Linked DNA regions of Anolis sagrei. Each later gene encodes a partner of the first gene's protein in a complex. Links are inferred from orthologs where the notes say so. Each region holds a gene or a part of one and is shown on either strand. Other genes may lie near its edges.

What was found. The genes of interacting proteins can lie anywhere in the genome.
Region 2: the proteins of protein mono-ADP-ribosyltransferase PARP12-like (region 1) and protein KHNYN are in contact, whole or in part, in a crystal structure (PDB 9BGL), measured with the Homo sapiens proteins. The link is inferred for Anolis sagrei from reciprocal best matches to the Homo sapiens genes ZC3HAV1 and KHNYN. Residues at the interface, in NP_064504.2 of Homo sapiens: Glu5, Val6, Cys8, Phe9, Lys12, Ile13, Ala16, His17, Glu29, Ile30, Ala31, Leu32, Leu113, Glu115, Phe118, Ser127, Gly128, Leu129, Asn130, Glu133; in NP_001277186.1 of Homo sapiens: His651, Lys652, Asp654, Phe655, Gln658, Arg659, Pro661, Tyr662, Asn677, Phe678.

The regions. Positions count from the first base shown.
Region 1 is NC_090025.1:101,486,452-101,493,978, reverse strand, and holds the start of protein mono-ADP-ribosyltransferase PARP12-like, read left to right. Parts: upstream 1-4,047; 5' UTR 4,048-4,113; coding exon 4,114-4,409; intron 4,410-7,527.
Region 2 is NC_090026.1:12,981,347-12,988,819, reverse strand, and holds the start of protein KHNYN, read left to right. Parts: upstream 1-4,348; 5' UTR 4,349-5,283; intron 5,284-7,473. Other genes in the region: epimerase family protein SDR39U1, read left to right, coding at 822-965, 3,650-4,065.

The sequences.
Region 1 (7,527 bases):
TGCCAGCGTACTCTTGTTGTTGACATAAGGCCCGTCGCAAACTCTTTTCCTGCGAGAGAAACCTTGCTAGCAAGTCCCTGACGTCACGAGCCTGCGCCTCTCTCCCCGCCCCTTTCTCCGCCCCTTTCTCTTTGCGAGCGTGGTTTTTCCTTTGCTAGGGCAGCATTGCCAGCGTACTCTTGTTGTTGACATAAGGCCCGTCGCAAACTCTGTTCCTGCGAGAGAAACCTTGCTAGCAAGTCCCTGACGTCACGAGCCTGCGCCTCTCTCCCCGCCCCTTTCTCCGCCCCTTTCTCTTTGCGAGCGTGGTTTTTCCTTTGCTAGGGCAGCATTGCCCGCATTTTCTCTCAGTTGAATTCTGCCAACTGAGAGAAAATGCGGGCAATGCTGCCCTAGCAGAGGAAAAACCACGCTCGCATGGAGAAAGGGGCAGAGAAAGGGGCGGGGAGAGAGGCGGAGTCTCGTGACGTCAGGGACTTGCTAGCAAGGTTTCTCTCGCAGGAACAGAGTTTGCGACGGGCCTAATTCAACAACGAGAGTACGCTGGCAATGCTGCCCTAGCGAAGGAAAAACCACTCTGGCATGGAGAAAGAGGCGGAGAAAGGGGCGGAGAGAGAGGCGCAGTCTCACGACGTCAGGGACGTGCTGGCACAGTTTGCTCCCGCAGGAGGCTAGTTTGCGACGGGTCTAACAGTCCATTAAAATAGAACTGATACCGATACAAAGGTCTGATGTAAGCAAGGTAGATGTAACTTCAAAGGATGTTTTGATTTTTGACAGTTGAAGGAAATGAACAACAACAAAATTTAACAATAAATATTTAACAGTGTGATAGCGCTGAGTGTGGCTAGGGTGTATCAGTGAATTTGTGTGTACATTGTCAACAACCTTTCAGTGCTTCTGCTGATGACTCGTCTCTTTGGCTTTAATATCACATGAGTTTTTGAATAAACAGAAGTTGTGGTTTCAGTTCTGCCTTATGCTTGTTATTTGAGCAACATAAGGAAGAATTTCTGTTTATATATTGTTAATTTCTGTTGTTGTTGCTGTGTTCTTTCAATTGTTCCCAACATATGAACATCCTATGATGACCCTATCACAGGGATTTCTGAGGCTGAGAGTGTGTAACTCCCCTAAGGTCTCCCAATGGGTTTCTATGGCTGAATGTGGAGTCAAATGTGCAAATCACACTGGTTCCTTAATTTTTGGAAGGTACTGTCTTTTTTAGATCCATGATTACATTTGTTCGGAAACAAGAGGGAGTTTCTGATTTCCTATTTTCCCCGTGAGATTCCCTAGGGTACACCTACACTTTAGCATTAATGTATTTGACACCACTTTAACCATCATGGCTCAGTGCTATAAAACCCTGGGATTTGTTTTTTAGTGAGGCACCAGCACTCTTTGGCAGAGAAGACTAAAGATCATGATAAAAGTACAACTCCCAGAATCCCATGGCATTGAGCCATGGCAGGTACACTTTGGAAGTATCTATTTGAAGGCTTTCTGTTGTGTTCTTCACCCAAAAGTATCTGCAAAGAGTGGATGTACAGTCTGGATGGGGGCGAACAAATTGAAATTGAATCCAGACAAGACAGAGGTACTCCTGGTCAGTCGTAAGGCCGAACAGGGTATAGGGTTACAGCCTGTGTTGGATGGGGTCGCACTCCCCCTGAAGACACAGGTTCGCAGTTTGGGTGTGATCCTGGACTCATCGTTGAGCCTGGAACCCCAGGTTTCAGCGGTGACCAGGGGAGCATTCGCACAGTTAAAACTCGTGCGCCAACTGCGCCCGTACCTTGGGAAGTCTGACTTGGCCACGGTAGTCCACGCTCTGGTTACATCCCGTTTAGACTACTGCAATGCTCTCTACGTGGGGTTGCCTTTGAAGACGGCCCGGAAGCTCCAATTAGTCCAACGCTCGGCAGCCATGATACTAACTGGAGCGGAGCACAGGGAGCATACAACTCCTCTGCTGCACCAGCTCCACTGGCTGCCGATCTGCTACCGGGCTCAATTCAAAGTGCTGGCGCTGGCCTTTAAAGCCCTAAACGGTTCTGGCCCAACTTACCTATCCGAACGTATCTCAACCTATCAGCCCACCAGAACCCTAAGATCTTCTGGGGGGGCCCTGCTCTCTATCCCGCCTGCTTCACAGGTGCGGCTGGCAGGGACGAGAGACAGGGCCTTTTCTGTGATGGCCCCGCGGCTATGGAACGCCCTCCCCATGGAGGTAAGATCAGCCCCCTCATTGATGGTTTTCCGGAAAAGACTAAAAACCTGGATGTTCGAGCAGGCGTTCGGTTAACTCAGTGCAATAAGTGTAATGATTGAAGGACTGGCAATTTGGACGACGAAACTGGATCGCGATTTTAGTCAAGAGATGAATTGGATGGTTTATTGATATATGTATTGTGGATCGTGTTTTTATGCTTTTAAACTGTATACTGTTGTTTGTTATAAGTTGTGTAAACCGCGTTGAGTCGCCGGCTAGGCTGAGAAACGGCGGTATACAAGTATAGCAAATAAATAAAATAATAATAAATTTATTGGTATCTGCCTGCTGTTAATAAATAGGCAAAACCAAAATGGTTCCCCACAGTTCCTCCCCTTGTAGTGCCACAAAAAGGAATGTTTGAAAAGGAAAATTCAATTCCATTTGTAATTACTGTCTGATAATAATAATAAAATTGTTATTATAATATACCAAAAATGATAATTTTATGACAGCTAAAATTATACTTACCATTTTTTTCTGTTCTTAAAGTAAGAACAGAACAGTCTGGTTGTTATTATGTGTCTTCCAAATGTTATTTTCAGTGTATAGAGATTAAATCATAGGGTTTTCATGGTAATTTTTTTCAAAGGAGGTTTGCCTTTGCCTTCCTTTGAGGCTGAGAGAGTGAGGCTTCCTGAAGATTCCATGGTTGAGAAGTAACTCTTTCAAGCTTGGATATGAGGACTAGGTAGCCTCCATGGCATGGTGATGCCTGGAATATCCTTTGAGCATCAGTGGGGCCCCTCTCCATAGTTGTAGAGTGAAAATGGTCAACTAGGCCATTAGTTCTGAGAGTGCCTTGGACTGCGAGAAGATCCAACCAGTCCATCCTCCAGGAAATAAAGCCCGACTGCTCATTGGAGGGAAGGATACTAGAGACAAAGCTGAAGTACTTTGGCCACATCATGAGGAGACAGCAAAGCCTAGAGAAGACAATTATGCTGGGGAAAGTGGAAGGTAAAAGGAAGAGGGGCCGACCAAAGGCAAGATGGATGGATGGCATCCTTGAAGTGACTGGACTGACCTTGAAGGAGCTGGAGGTGGTGACGGCTGACAGGGAGCTCTGGCGTGGGCTGGTCCATGAGGTCACGAAGAGTCGGAGATGACTGAACGAATGAACAACAAAGGCCATTATTTATTTGCAGATTTTAATCCTGCTGATTGGCCTAGGGCAAACTAATCCAATTTATTTATTTTTTATTTGTCGTATCAGAAGTGAACTGAGGGTACAGTTGTAATATATTTTAAAAAACACAAAGTTTTAAAAACTTGGCCTTGTACTAAATGTCCTTCGACTAATAGCTGGCCACTTGGAGTGCCTCTGGTGTTGCTATAAGAAGGTCCTCCATTATGCACGTGGCAGGGCTCAGACTGCATTGCGATAGGTGGTCTGTGGTTTGCTCTTCTCCACACCCGCATGTTGTGGACTCCACTTTGTGGCCAGAAACTAATACAATGTACATTTTTTAAAAGCCAAGCCAAAACATGACAGTTAAAATCAGTACTGCCCCACCACCCTGTAATCCTAAATAAAACAGTCCTAAATCCTAAATAAAACAAGAATGATGACATTCGCTCAAAATGCAATTCAGTCGCCAAGAATTTTTGATAAATCACCCTTTGCCTCCCTTTAGGTCAGGTGGTGCTATCAATGATCTACCTTTGTTGACTTTCTGTTTCCAGCATTCATATGACAGAGTTAAGTTGCCAGGGAGTTACTTGTCTTCAGTTTCGATTCTCTTCGGAGTTGCAGGGAAAATAGGTGGAGCCTAGGTTGGTCTGACTTGAAACCAAACAACTCTTTAACAGACAGGTGGACAGACCAGAGATTGATCATGACTGATCCGGTTGTGTGTAGTTTTATCACCAAGATCCTTTGCTCCATGGGGGGCAGCTCAAGTTATCAGGAGATTCTTCCTGTTTTGGGGCTTCCCGACCACCAGTTAAGGCAGATCTTGGAGCAATCTGGGGAGGAAAGATTTCTGGTCAATGAGCAAGGCACCTCGTCTCAGGTGCTGGCAATCTCTCCGGTGCGTCTGTGTCTGAGGAATGAGTGTGATGGGTGCGAACGTCTTCATATTTGCAAGAACTACATCAAGAAGAAATGTTTCAGGCCTGCTCGTGGCAGATGGTGAGTTGCGGGGTGAGGTTAGAAAGAAAGAGAGAAGAAAAAGAAAAGATGGAAATGAGGAAGGCAGCTTTTGATAGCATTGAAAGAGATAAAAATGGATGTGAGTGGACTGGTACATTGTGACATGGTAGCCAACTCTCAAGAGAGAAAAGAGACAAAAGTCAAAGCAAATGTAGTTTCTGTCTGTTTTCTTCATTAGCCTCAAGTTCAACTGGCACTGCTTAGTTCAGTGGTTTCCAACCAGCGAACTGTGTACCACCGGTGTTCTGCAAGAACTAAAATATGGTCTGTGGCCTCACCATTACTACACTATTGCAACAAGAGCGACTGGTCTCGCAAAACCCTGTCATAGTACCGAGGCTTATTAAATATTGTTTTCTGTGGGTGAACAGATGGTAACTACTCGATGGCATATGTTCTGTATCAGAACTAGAGCTGATGTGGTCTATCTAATGCAATTTTCTGAATCAGCACCCCAAATAACCAAACCAAATTTAAAATTGACCAAAAACTGATTTGTAACCCTTTTGATACTAATGTTGGAGAGTGGTCCCTGGTCAGAGAGATCCCTAGTCAAAAAGGTTTGGGAATCACTGGTTTAGTTAGAAGGCATGAAAGACAAACGTCACCCAGCAACTATAGTGAGATAGCTCACTTTACACCTAAATAATGTTGTTGTTGTTGTGGACCAATAGGATAAACCAGAAGAATAAAGACTAATGTAATTTTGGAAATTTGACCCCATTTACTCTCAAATGAATGTGTGTTAGGTAATGGATTTGAATTTTCAGCTGTGCTCAAATTATAGGTTTTGTGAATGTATTTCAAAAGAAAAGCCATGTTTCAGAATGAACAAATCCATTGTATTATTACTAATAGTTGTTGTATAATACTAATAGTTGTTGTATCTCGGTGGTGGCCCCTCGGCTGTGGAACGCCCTTCCCATGGACATTAGATCAGCTCCCTCATTGATGGTATTTCGGAGAAAAGTGAAAACCTGGTTATTTGAACAGGCGTTTGAATAGGCAGTGCAATGAATTTTAGGAAATGGAACTATGGACGACGAGTTTGGATCATGATTCTAGTTATGAGATGCCAATGAATGAATGTTTATTGTTGTTTAATTGCTTAGTCTGCTATTGTGTTAATTGTTAATTGTTTTTAAATACCTTGTTATGCTGCATTGAATTTTTGCTATTTTGTTGTTAACTGCTATGAGTCGCCTAAGGGCTGAGAATAGCGGTATACAAGTGAAGTAAATAAAATAAAGAAATAAGGAAATAATTTGTACACTTACTGATACTTGTGCCTTTGTTGGGAATGAATGTGTAAATAGACCTCTGGTTTTAAGATGAGCAAGGGCTTAGAGCAGGGGTCCTCAAACTAAGGCCTGGGGGCCGGATACAGCCTTCCAAGATCATTTACCCGGCCCTCGCTCAGGATCAACCTAAGTCTGAAATGACTTGAAAGCACACAACAACAACAATCCTATCTCATCAGCCAAAAGCAGCCCCACACTTCTCATTGATATTTGAGTTTATATTTGTTAAAATTGTTCTTCATTTTAATTATAACATTGTTTTAAAGTGTTTTTTGCACTACAAATAAAACATGTGCAGTGTGCATAGGAATTCATTCATGCTTTTTTCAAATTATAATCCGGCCCTCCAACAGTTCGAGGCACTGTGACCTGGCCCCCTGTTTAAAATGTTTGAGGACCCCTGGCTTAGAGGCTTGCAATAGGTCTCGTTTCTGGTTTTGGTGTAATCTGAGAACCTCTCTTGCTGTGGACTCCAAATGGGAAATCCCAGGATTCCATAGGAAGTTGACATGATAATATGTAACAAAATTTGGAGAGAAAAAAATCTGTTCCCGGTCTGCAAGTGTTATTTCCTGTTTAATTGTACGGTACTCACTTTGAAAGTAGTTGTTATACCCTAGAAACTTTGTTTTTGTGGCTGCCACAAACTATGTTGAATTGATTGAGACCTTATGAGATACTGAAAAACTATAGTAAATTTTCCCACTTCTTATCCTATGTGATTTGGTTCATACATGAAAGTTAACAACTGAGGTGTAGAAGGGGAGACCTTTGAAAAACTAGACCTGTTTTGGCATTCATATTGTGTGCTGCATTAACGTGCTCAGGGAGAGTGACATGGTTCCTGATAATATGGACATTCATTAATGGGTGATGGCAGTGGTGGCTAATAGTCATAATAATGGTTTTCCTTGAGGTTGTGAGTGCGGAAGGAGGGCTCAAAGTTCATCCCTTTCCATGTTTTTATCCCATGGCAAATGTCTTTCTTCGTACCTATAAAACTACTGTGAAACAACTTTGAGATTTTCAGGAAGCTTGTCCCTGTGTCTACAACTACATTTGGCACAGAGTCACAATAAACAGAAGCCTTGTCTTTGAGACAATATGGGGACGCTTTATATATCTTTGTTATTCTTCATAAATTCTATGCAAATTGGAAGTAAATTAGTTTGCCATGCTCAGAAATCACCATTGTGATTGTTTGAAAACAATTTAAAAGGAGAGCTGGAAATACGTTGAAAACAATTTAAAAGGAGAGCTGGAAACACCAGGGCACCAACTTCTGACTTCCTGGTATAAAAAAAGAAAAACATGAACTGGAAAATTGAGTGGAGGGAGGATCCCTCTCCCTCCCTTTGTGTATAAGAGAGTTGAAGGTTTTATTCTTACTTGAGCCAATTTACTATTTATTTACTCTATTTGTATCTTGTCTTTCTCTATCCTAAAGGGGACTCAAGATGGCTTTCCATATAGCAACCATTCAGTGCCTTTGAACAACAAACAGTTAAAATACATTAAGTTAAAGATTGAAAATTTAAAATTTAATGCACATTAAAACACATAAAACATTGCAATCACTATTAAAAATCATGGCACCCACAATTGTAATCCGAGGCCATTCCAAAGCTCATTGCACATAATTTTGTAGCTATTACAGCTCCTTGACCATCTTTAGCCACTTCAAGGTTATAATTTTATGAAGATACCTTTCCCTGACACATAATCTGCCTCTCTGTCTTTGGTATCTATCATTGCTTTAGAATACAATAGTTGAGTTTAACCATGTTGGTTTAAAA
Region 2 (7,473 bases), on another chromosome or scaffold:
TCTGGCCAAAGCCAACCTTTAAACAAATTGCTGTGATGTTTTGGAACGCTTCCGGATATTCCAGCTTCTGAGGTTGAAGGTATTATTAGAAGAGTGTTGACCAATGGCACAGGTTATATAAGGGGAAGCTTTGGAGGAAGGAAACCAAGGAAAACACCTGGGGACAAAGGGTAATGCCGTGAAGTCAACAGGAAGGAAGATACGCAAGGCAACTGAAAGGAAATAGGGGTTGCGAAACAGAGAAGGACAGAAGGTGATGTGGTTGAAGACACGAGTCTGGAAAAAGTGTAACGGGGACAACAAGAAAAATAAGTTTATGGTGCAAAAGTGTGAAATTAGACTTTCCCCACTTTCCTGTTGATTTCCGCTTAATTTTCTTACATGGGTCATGCTGCTTCTGCTGTTAACAAGTAAACACCATACATTTGAAATAGAACACAACAAGGACCTGAAGCAGGCATGGGCAAACTTTGGCCCTCCAGGTGTTTTGGACTTCAACTCCCACAATTCCTAACAGAAATCATCTCTGAACAAATGCCAAGAAAAGTTCATGATCACCTGTTGTTGTGCGTCTTCAAATTGTTTCCAACTTTTGGCAACCCTAGGGCTATCGTGTTTTCTGGGGACAAATCACCACCTTGTGATTAACTGAACTGTTATTTTGCTGCAAGCTCCTTTTACGAAATGCTTCCTGTTTTAAGAGTGTTAAGAAAAACAAGGTAATTAAGTCACAATTATAGAGAAAACATCTATGTGCAGCAGTGCAAGGTGATAGGTCTCCTATGTACCTTAATAAAATGCTTGTGAAATGTTTTATCTAGGATATTACCGGCCCAGCCACACCACAAAATACACAGAAGACAGTCCTGGTGGAGATTTTGATTTCTTTTCTCGCCTAGTAACTCGCTGGGAAGCAGTGGCTCGAATCCCTGGTGACGTCACACGCCAAGCAGTTGTGAGATCTGGTGAGACGAAGCACAGGATAGGCCGATTGCTCAAAGTATAATTGGATGGGTTGAGCATCCTCTATTGATACATTGGTTGGATTGTGTTAATTTTGTGATTGTTTTAAATTTGATATATAATAATAATAATAATAATAATAATGATCTATTTATTTATTAATATTAATTTATTTACTAATATTAATTAATTAATTAAATTATTAATAATTATTTACCGAATTATTTATTTATCAATAATTATTTAAGTGGCCTGCACTTAAACACAATCGGCGCTGACAAGATTACCATCTGCCAGCTGCAAAAGGCCACCCTACTGAGATCTGCACGCATTATTCGCCGATACATCACACAGTCCTAGAGACTTGGGAAGTGCCCAACGTGTGATCCAATACATCAGCCAGCAGAGTGATCTTGTCTGCTGTGAATTCATCTTGTTGTGTTTCAAATAATAATAATAATAATAATAATAATAATAATACGACTCTGTCACAAGCCAGTAAAGGTGGTCCCAGTGATGATCGGCACACTGGGTGCAGTGCGTAAAGACCTTGGCCTGCACTTAAACACAATTGGCGCTGACAAATTTACCATCTGTCAGCTGCAAAAGGCCACTATACTGGGATATGCACGCATTATTCGCTGATACATCACACCATCCTATACACTTGGGAAGTGTCTGACGTGTGATCCAATACAACAGCCAGCAGAGTGATCTTGTTTGTTGTGGATTCATCTTGTTGTGTTTCAAATAATAATAATAATAATAATAATAATAACAACAACAACAACAACAGGCCAGTGAATGTGGTCCCAGTGGTGATCGGCACACTGGGTGCAGTGGCTAAAGACCTTGGCCTGCACTTAAACATATTTGGCGCTGAAAAGATAATAATAATAACAACAAGCCAGTGAATTATTATTATTATTAAACTTTATTTGTATCCCGCTAGCATCTCCCACAGGACTCGATGCGGCTTACAAAGGCCAAGGCCTCAACAAACAATACAACAAAACCTAGGCAAATTAAACCAATTAAAGCAATCTAAAACAACAAGCAATGAACAATCCACTAAGGCACAATAAAACTGGGCCGGGCCAGAGTAAGGGTACAAGGGTTAAAAGTGCTGATGTGACAGGTGGAAATGAGGCTCATGGACAAGTGCAGTGTGCAATGTGCGGCCGTCTTGGCTTTAATAAAGTCCTTGTGGGACTTGGTAATGGAGGTTTCCTATTCAGGAAAGGCACATCGGAACTGTAATGCACTCTACGTTGGGCTGCCCTTGAAAACGGCTCGGAAATTCCAACTGGTCCAACGAGCAGCAGCCAGGATGTTGACTGGCGCTCCCTACAGAGAGAGGTCAACCCTCCTGTTCAAGGAGCTCCACTGGCTGCCGTTTATCTACCGAGCCCAATTTAAGGTGCAGGTGCTTACCTACAAAGCCCTGAACGGTTTGGGACCAGCCTACCTGCATGACCGCATCTCCGTCTACAAACCCACAGGCTCTCTCCGTTCATCTGGAGAGGCCCTGCTTGTGATCCCACCTGCGTCGCAAGCGCGTTTGGTGGGGACACGAGACAGGGCCTTTTCCGTGGTGGCCCCCCGACTCTGGAACACCCTCCCCAAATATCTTAGACAGGCTCCTACATTGGCAGTCTTCAGAAAGAACTTGAAGACCTGAATGTGGTCCCAGTGGTGATCGGCACACTGGGTGCAGTGGCTAAAGACCTTGGCCTGCACTTAAACATAATTGGCGCTGAAAAGATAATAATAATAATAATAATAATAATAATAATAACAACAATAACAAGCCAGTCAATGTGGTCCCAGTGGTGATCGGCACACTGGGTGCAGTGCTTAAAGACCTGCACTTAAACATAATTGGCGCTGACAAGATAATAATAATAACAACAACAACACAACCAGTACAGGTGGTCCCAGCGGTCATCGGCAGACTGGGTGCCGTGCTAAAAGATCTCAGCGGCATTTGGAAACAATAAACATTGACAAAATTACGATCTGTCAACTGCAAAAGGCCACCTGACTTGGATCTGCGTGCATCATTTGAAAATACATCACACAGTCCTAGATGCTTAGGAAGTGTTCGACTTGTGATTTTGTGATACGAAATCCAGCATATAGATCTTGTTTGCTTTTTTTTTTTTTTTTTTTGTCGTCATGTCAGGAGTGACTTGAGAAACTGCAAGTTGCTTCTGGTGTGAGTGAATTGGCCTTCTGCAAGGACGTTGCCCAGGGCACGCCCGGATGATTTGATGTTTTTATCATCCTTGTGGGAGGCTTCTTTCATGTCCCCGCATGAGGTGCTGGAGCTGATAGAGGGAGCTCATCCGCCTCTACCTGGATTCGAACCTGCGACCTGTCGGTCTTCACTCCTGCTGGCACAGGGGTTTAACCCACTGTGCCACCGGGGGCTCCTCTCGTTTGCTGTGGCATACTGTGTTTTTGTGTCAGTAAAATAATAATAATAATAATAATAATAATAATAATAATAATACATTTGATATGTTACTTATTTTGTTTTATGTTATCTACTATGTTTTATGACCATAAGCTGCTTTGGGTCCCTTGTTGGGAGATGCGGCGGAGTATAAATAAAGTGATGTGGAAAGTTCTCAGAACTAAACATTGCTCTCTAAATGGCTATTGTTCCTTTACTTGAACACAGGTGTTGTGCTGGGCAGAGACGGCGGTGCCATCGCCCAAATGCTGTGGCCCTTTCGCCTCGGTGTGGGAGGGCCCATCGGCTCTGGCCGCCAGCCTTTTCCTTGGATCCACGTGGCGGATTTGGCGGGCATTTTGGCCCATGCGTTGGAACGGGAAGGAGTCAGCGGGATCCTGAACGGCGTCTCACCAACTGCTGTTACCACCACAAATAAGGACTTTGCCCAAGTGATGGGGTCAGTGCTCAGGCGGCCCGCCCTGTTGCCCCTGCCGGGTTTTGCCATTTCGGCCATTTTTGGCCCCGAACGAAGCATCATGTTGCTGGAAGGGCAGCGAGTGGAGCCCAAGCGGACTCTGGAGAGCGGCTACAGCTTTGCGTTCCCTGATCTTCCCTCTGCCCTCCGGGATATCTTAGTCTGAGCTGATAAAAAAGAAACCTAGGCGGTATCAGTTATATATAATGCTGCTGCTGGTGTGTTATAAATTATCAGATGCATTATACTGTAAGATTATATTTACTTGAAGCCATGGATATGTCCAAAGATCATTATATTACCATTATAGAGCAGAGATACAGCAAAGAATACATTTCATCTTCACTATATTTCAAATGGTAATAAATGAGTGGGTTGTTGTGAGTTTTCCGGGCTGTATGGCCATGTTCCAGAAGCACTCTGTCCTGACGTTTCACCCACATCTATGGTAGGCATCCTCTGAGGTTGAAGGGTCTGTTGTAAACTAGGCAAGTGGGGTTTATATATCTGTGGAAGGTCCAGGGTGGGAGAAAGGACTCTTATGTGTTAGAGGCATGTGTGAATGTTGCAATTGGCCACCTTAATTAGCATTGAATGGCCTTGCAACTTCAAAGCCTGGCTGGTTGCTGCCTGGAGAAATCCTTTGTTGGGAGGTGTTAGCTGGTCCTGATTGTTTCTTGTCTGGAATTCCCCTGTGGCCAGTTGCAACATTCACACTTGCCTCAAGCAGACAAGAGTTCTTTCTCCCACCCTGGACATTATTCCACAGATATATAAACCCAATTTTTCTAGTTTCCAACGGACCTCACAACTTCTGAGGATGAGGAAGAACTTCCTGACTGTGAGAGCCATTCAGCAGTGGAACTCTCTGCCCCGGAGTGTGGTGGAGGCTCCTTCTTTGGAAGCTTTTAAACAGAGGCTGGATGGCCATCTGTCAAGCGTGATTTAAATGCAATATTTCTGCTTCTTGGCAGGGGGTTGGACTGGATGGCCCACGAGGTCTCTTCCAACTCTTTGATTCTATGATTCTATGCCTGCCATAGATGTGGGTGAAACGTCAGGAGAGGGTGCTTCTGGAACATGGCCATACAGCCTGGGAAACTCACAGCAACCGAGACATCGGTTTGGTTGTTAAGAAACCTTTTTCGTCTATTTGGGGCATTGTATTGTCGAAGGCATCTCTTGCCGAGGCTTTCACTAGATGGCACTACAGTTGCCGGACGTCCTCGAAGGCCAAGAGGGCGGGCGATAAATTATGAAGGGAATTTCCCAGAGAAAACAAACAAATACAACAGTCATTTCTTTTGCCCCACATCTGGACTTGTTTATAACTTTTTCAGCACAGGGACGAAGGGACTTTAAGAAGAGGACTCCGATTTTCAAGGTAAGACGCCAGGAACGGAAAACCAAGGGCAGAACCTCAAGTGACATTTTAAGGCTGATGTGTCGCTTACATTTTCCAAATTTCGAGACAGATCTGTATTGATTTAAGGCGTTCCACAGGGTGGGACTTCAAAACCTGCCTTTCGCCTTGCGATAAATGAAATAGTAATGCAAGAGGAACATGGGGAGAGAGAGAAAAAGAGTGGATGAACGTATCTTTAAATGCCTTTCACAAACTTTATTCCCATTGGAGATCGCTTCTGGAGCTGTCAAAGGCTTTCATGGCCAGAATTACTGGGTTGTTGTGAGTTTTCTGGGTTTTTTGGCCATGTTCCTGAAGCATTCTCTCCTGATGTTTTGCCCGCATCTATGGCAGGCATCCTCAGAGGTTGTGAGGTCTGTTGGAAACTAGGAAAATGGGGTAAACAAAGAGCGACACTCAAAAATAGGGGAATTCCAGACAAGAAATAATCAGGGCCAACTAATCACCTCCCAACAAAGGATTCCCCTAGGCAGTAAGAAGCTAGACCTTGAAACTGCTAAGCCATTCAATGCTAATCAAGGTGGCCAATTGCAACATTCGCATCTACCTCAAACAGACAAGAGTTCTTTCTCCCACCCTGGACATTATTCGACAGATATATAAACCCCAGTTTTTCCATATGCAGATTTTCACCTTTATTGTGTGTATAGATGTCATTTATTTATTTACAGTACTAGCTTGGGAACCCGGCGCTGCCTGGGTTATTAGAGAAAGTGGGTAATGGCGGTTCTGTAGGCCAAGTTTGGTCTTTATTGGTCATTGGATGACGGTTGCATTGTTTTCGGGAAGTGAGTGAAGGTACTTGAAGTCCCATCATCCATGGTCCAGCCTCCTCCAAACAGCAGCAGGATATAGAGTGGGTCATGGGGGCTCTGTGTGCCAAGTTTGGTCTTTATCAGTCATTGGATGAGGGTGGTAGTGGTTTCAGTAAGTGAGTGAAGGTACTGCAAGCCCCATCATCCATGATCCACCCTCCTCCAAACTGAAACAGGATGTAGATAGGGTCATGGGGGCTCTGTGTGCCAAGTTTGGTCTTTATCAGTCATTGGATGAGGGTGGTAGTGGTTTCAGTAAGTGAGTGAAGGTACTGCAAGTCCCATCATCCATGGTCCAGCCTCCTCCAAACAGCAGCAGGATATAGAGTGGGTCATGGGGGCTCTGCGTGCCAAGTTTGGTCTTTATCAGTCATTGGATGAGGGTGGTAGTGGTTTCAACAAGTGAGTGAAGGTACTGCAAGTCCCATCATCCATGATCCACCCTTCTCCAAACTGAAACAGGATGTAGATAGGGTCATGAGGGCTCTTTGTGCCAAGTTTGGTCTTGATCAGTCATTGGTTCAGGATCGCAGCGGTTTCAGTAAGTGAGTGATGATACTGCAAGTCCCATCATCCATGGTCAACCCTCGGATCACAATGGACATATACATGGTAAACATTCAATGCCACAGGCACACAACATATATAGACAGGCACACAGAGGCTATTTAATTTTCCAGTTTCATGAGGGTATGCTTTTTGAATTCCAGCCACCAGGGGAGTTGTTGCTTCACTTGTGACACCGCTGGAGTACTTCCTCATTCTTTTGCACTCTGCTGGAGAGTTTTATGGCGTCGTAAATTAGTTAAATTTGCCTTCCCACATAAATGGTACCTAATTTTCCTACTTGACAGATGCAACTGTCTTTGGGCTGTAAAGGTTGACAGCAAGCTAGACAAATGGTCGGGAGCTTACTCCGACCCAAGATGGCTTCGAACTCATGACCTTTCTGTCAGTAGTTATTTTTAATGCAGCTGACTCCCAACCTGCTGTGCCAGAACCCAGTCCAATGTATAGATGTATCGATGATAATGATGATTGCTTATTTCCTTGTTTTGAATTTACCTTAAAAGGAGCAATATTAACCCACAGGTGTCATGGCTATCTTTAAAAAAGGGAACTGTGCCATCATCATAAGCTCCAAACTATGATGGGGTGAGTGAGATCAGCCTTGGGGTGACTTCCTTTTTTACTAATGCAGATTAAATTCTGAAAAGCGATGACAGTCGAGAATAAAACGCAGACGCGCTTTGTCGCACGGCCTTCCACCTATCTCTGGGCCGGGTGGATTTTGCAATCTGGAATTTCCCCGTTGACGGCTGTGGGTGCAACC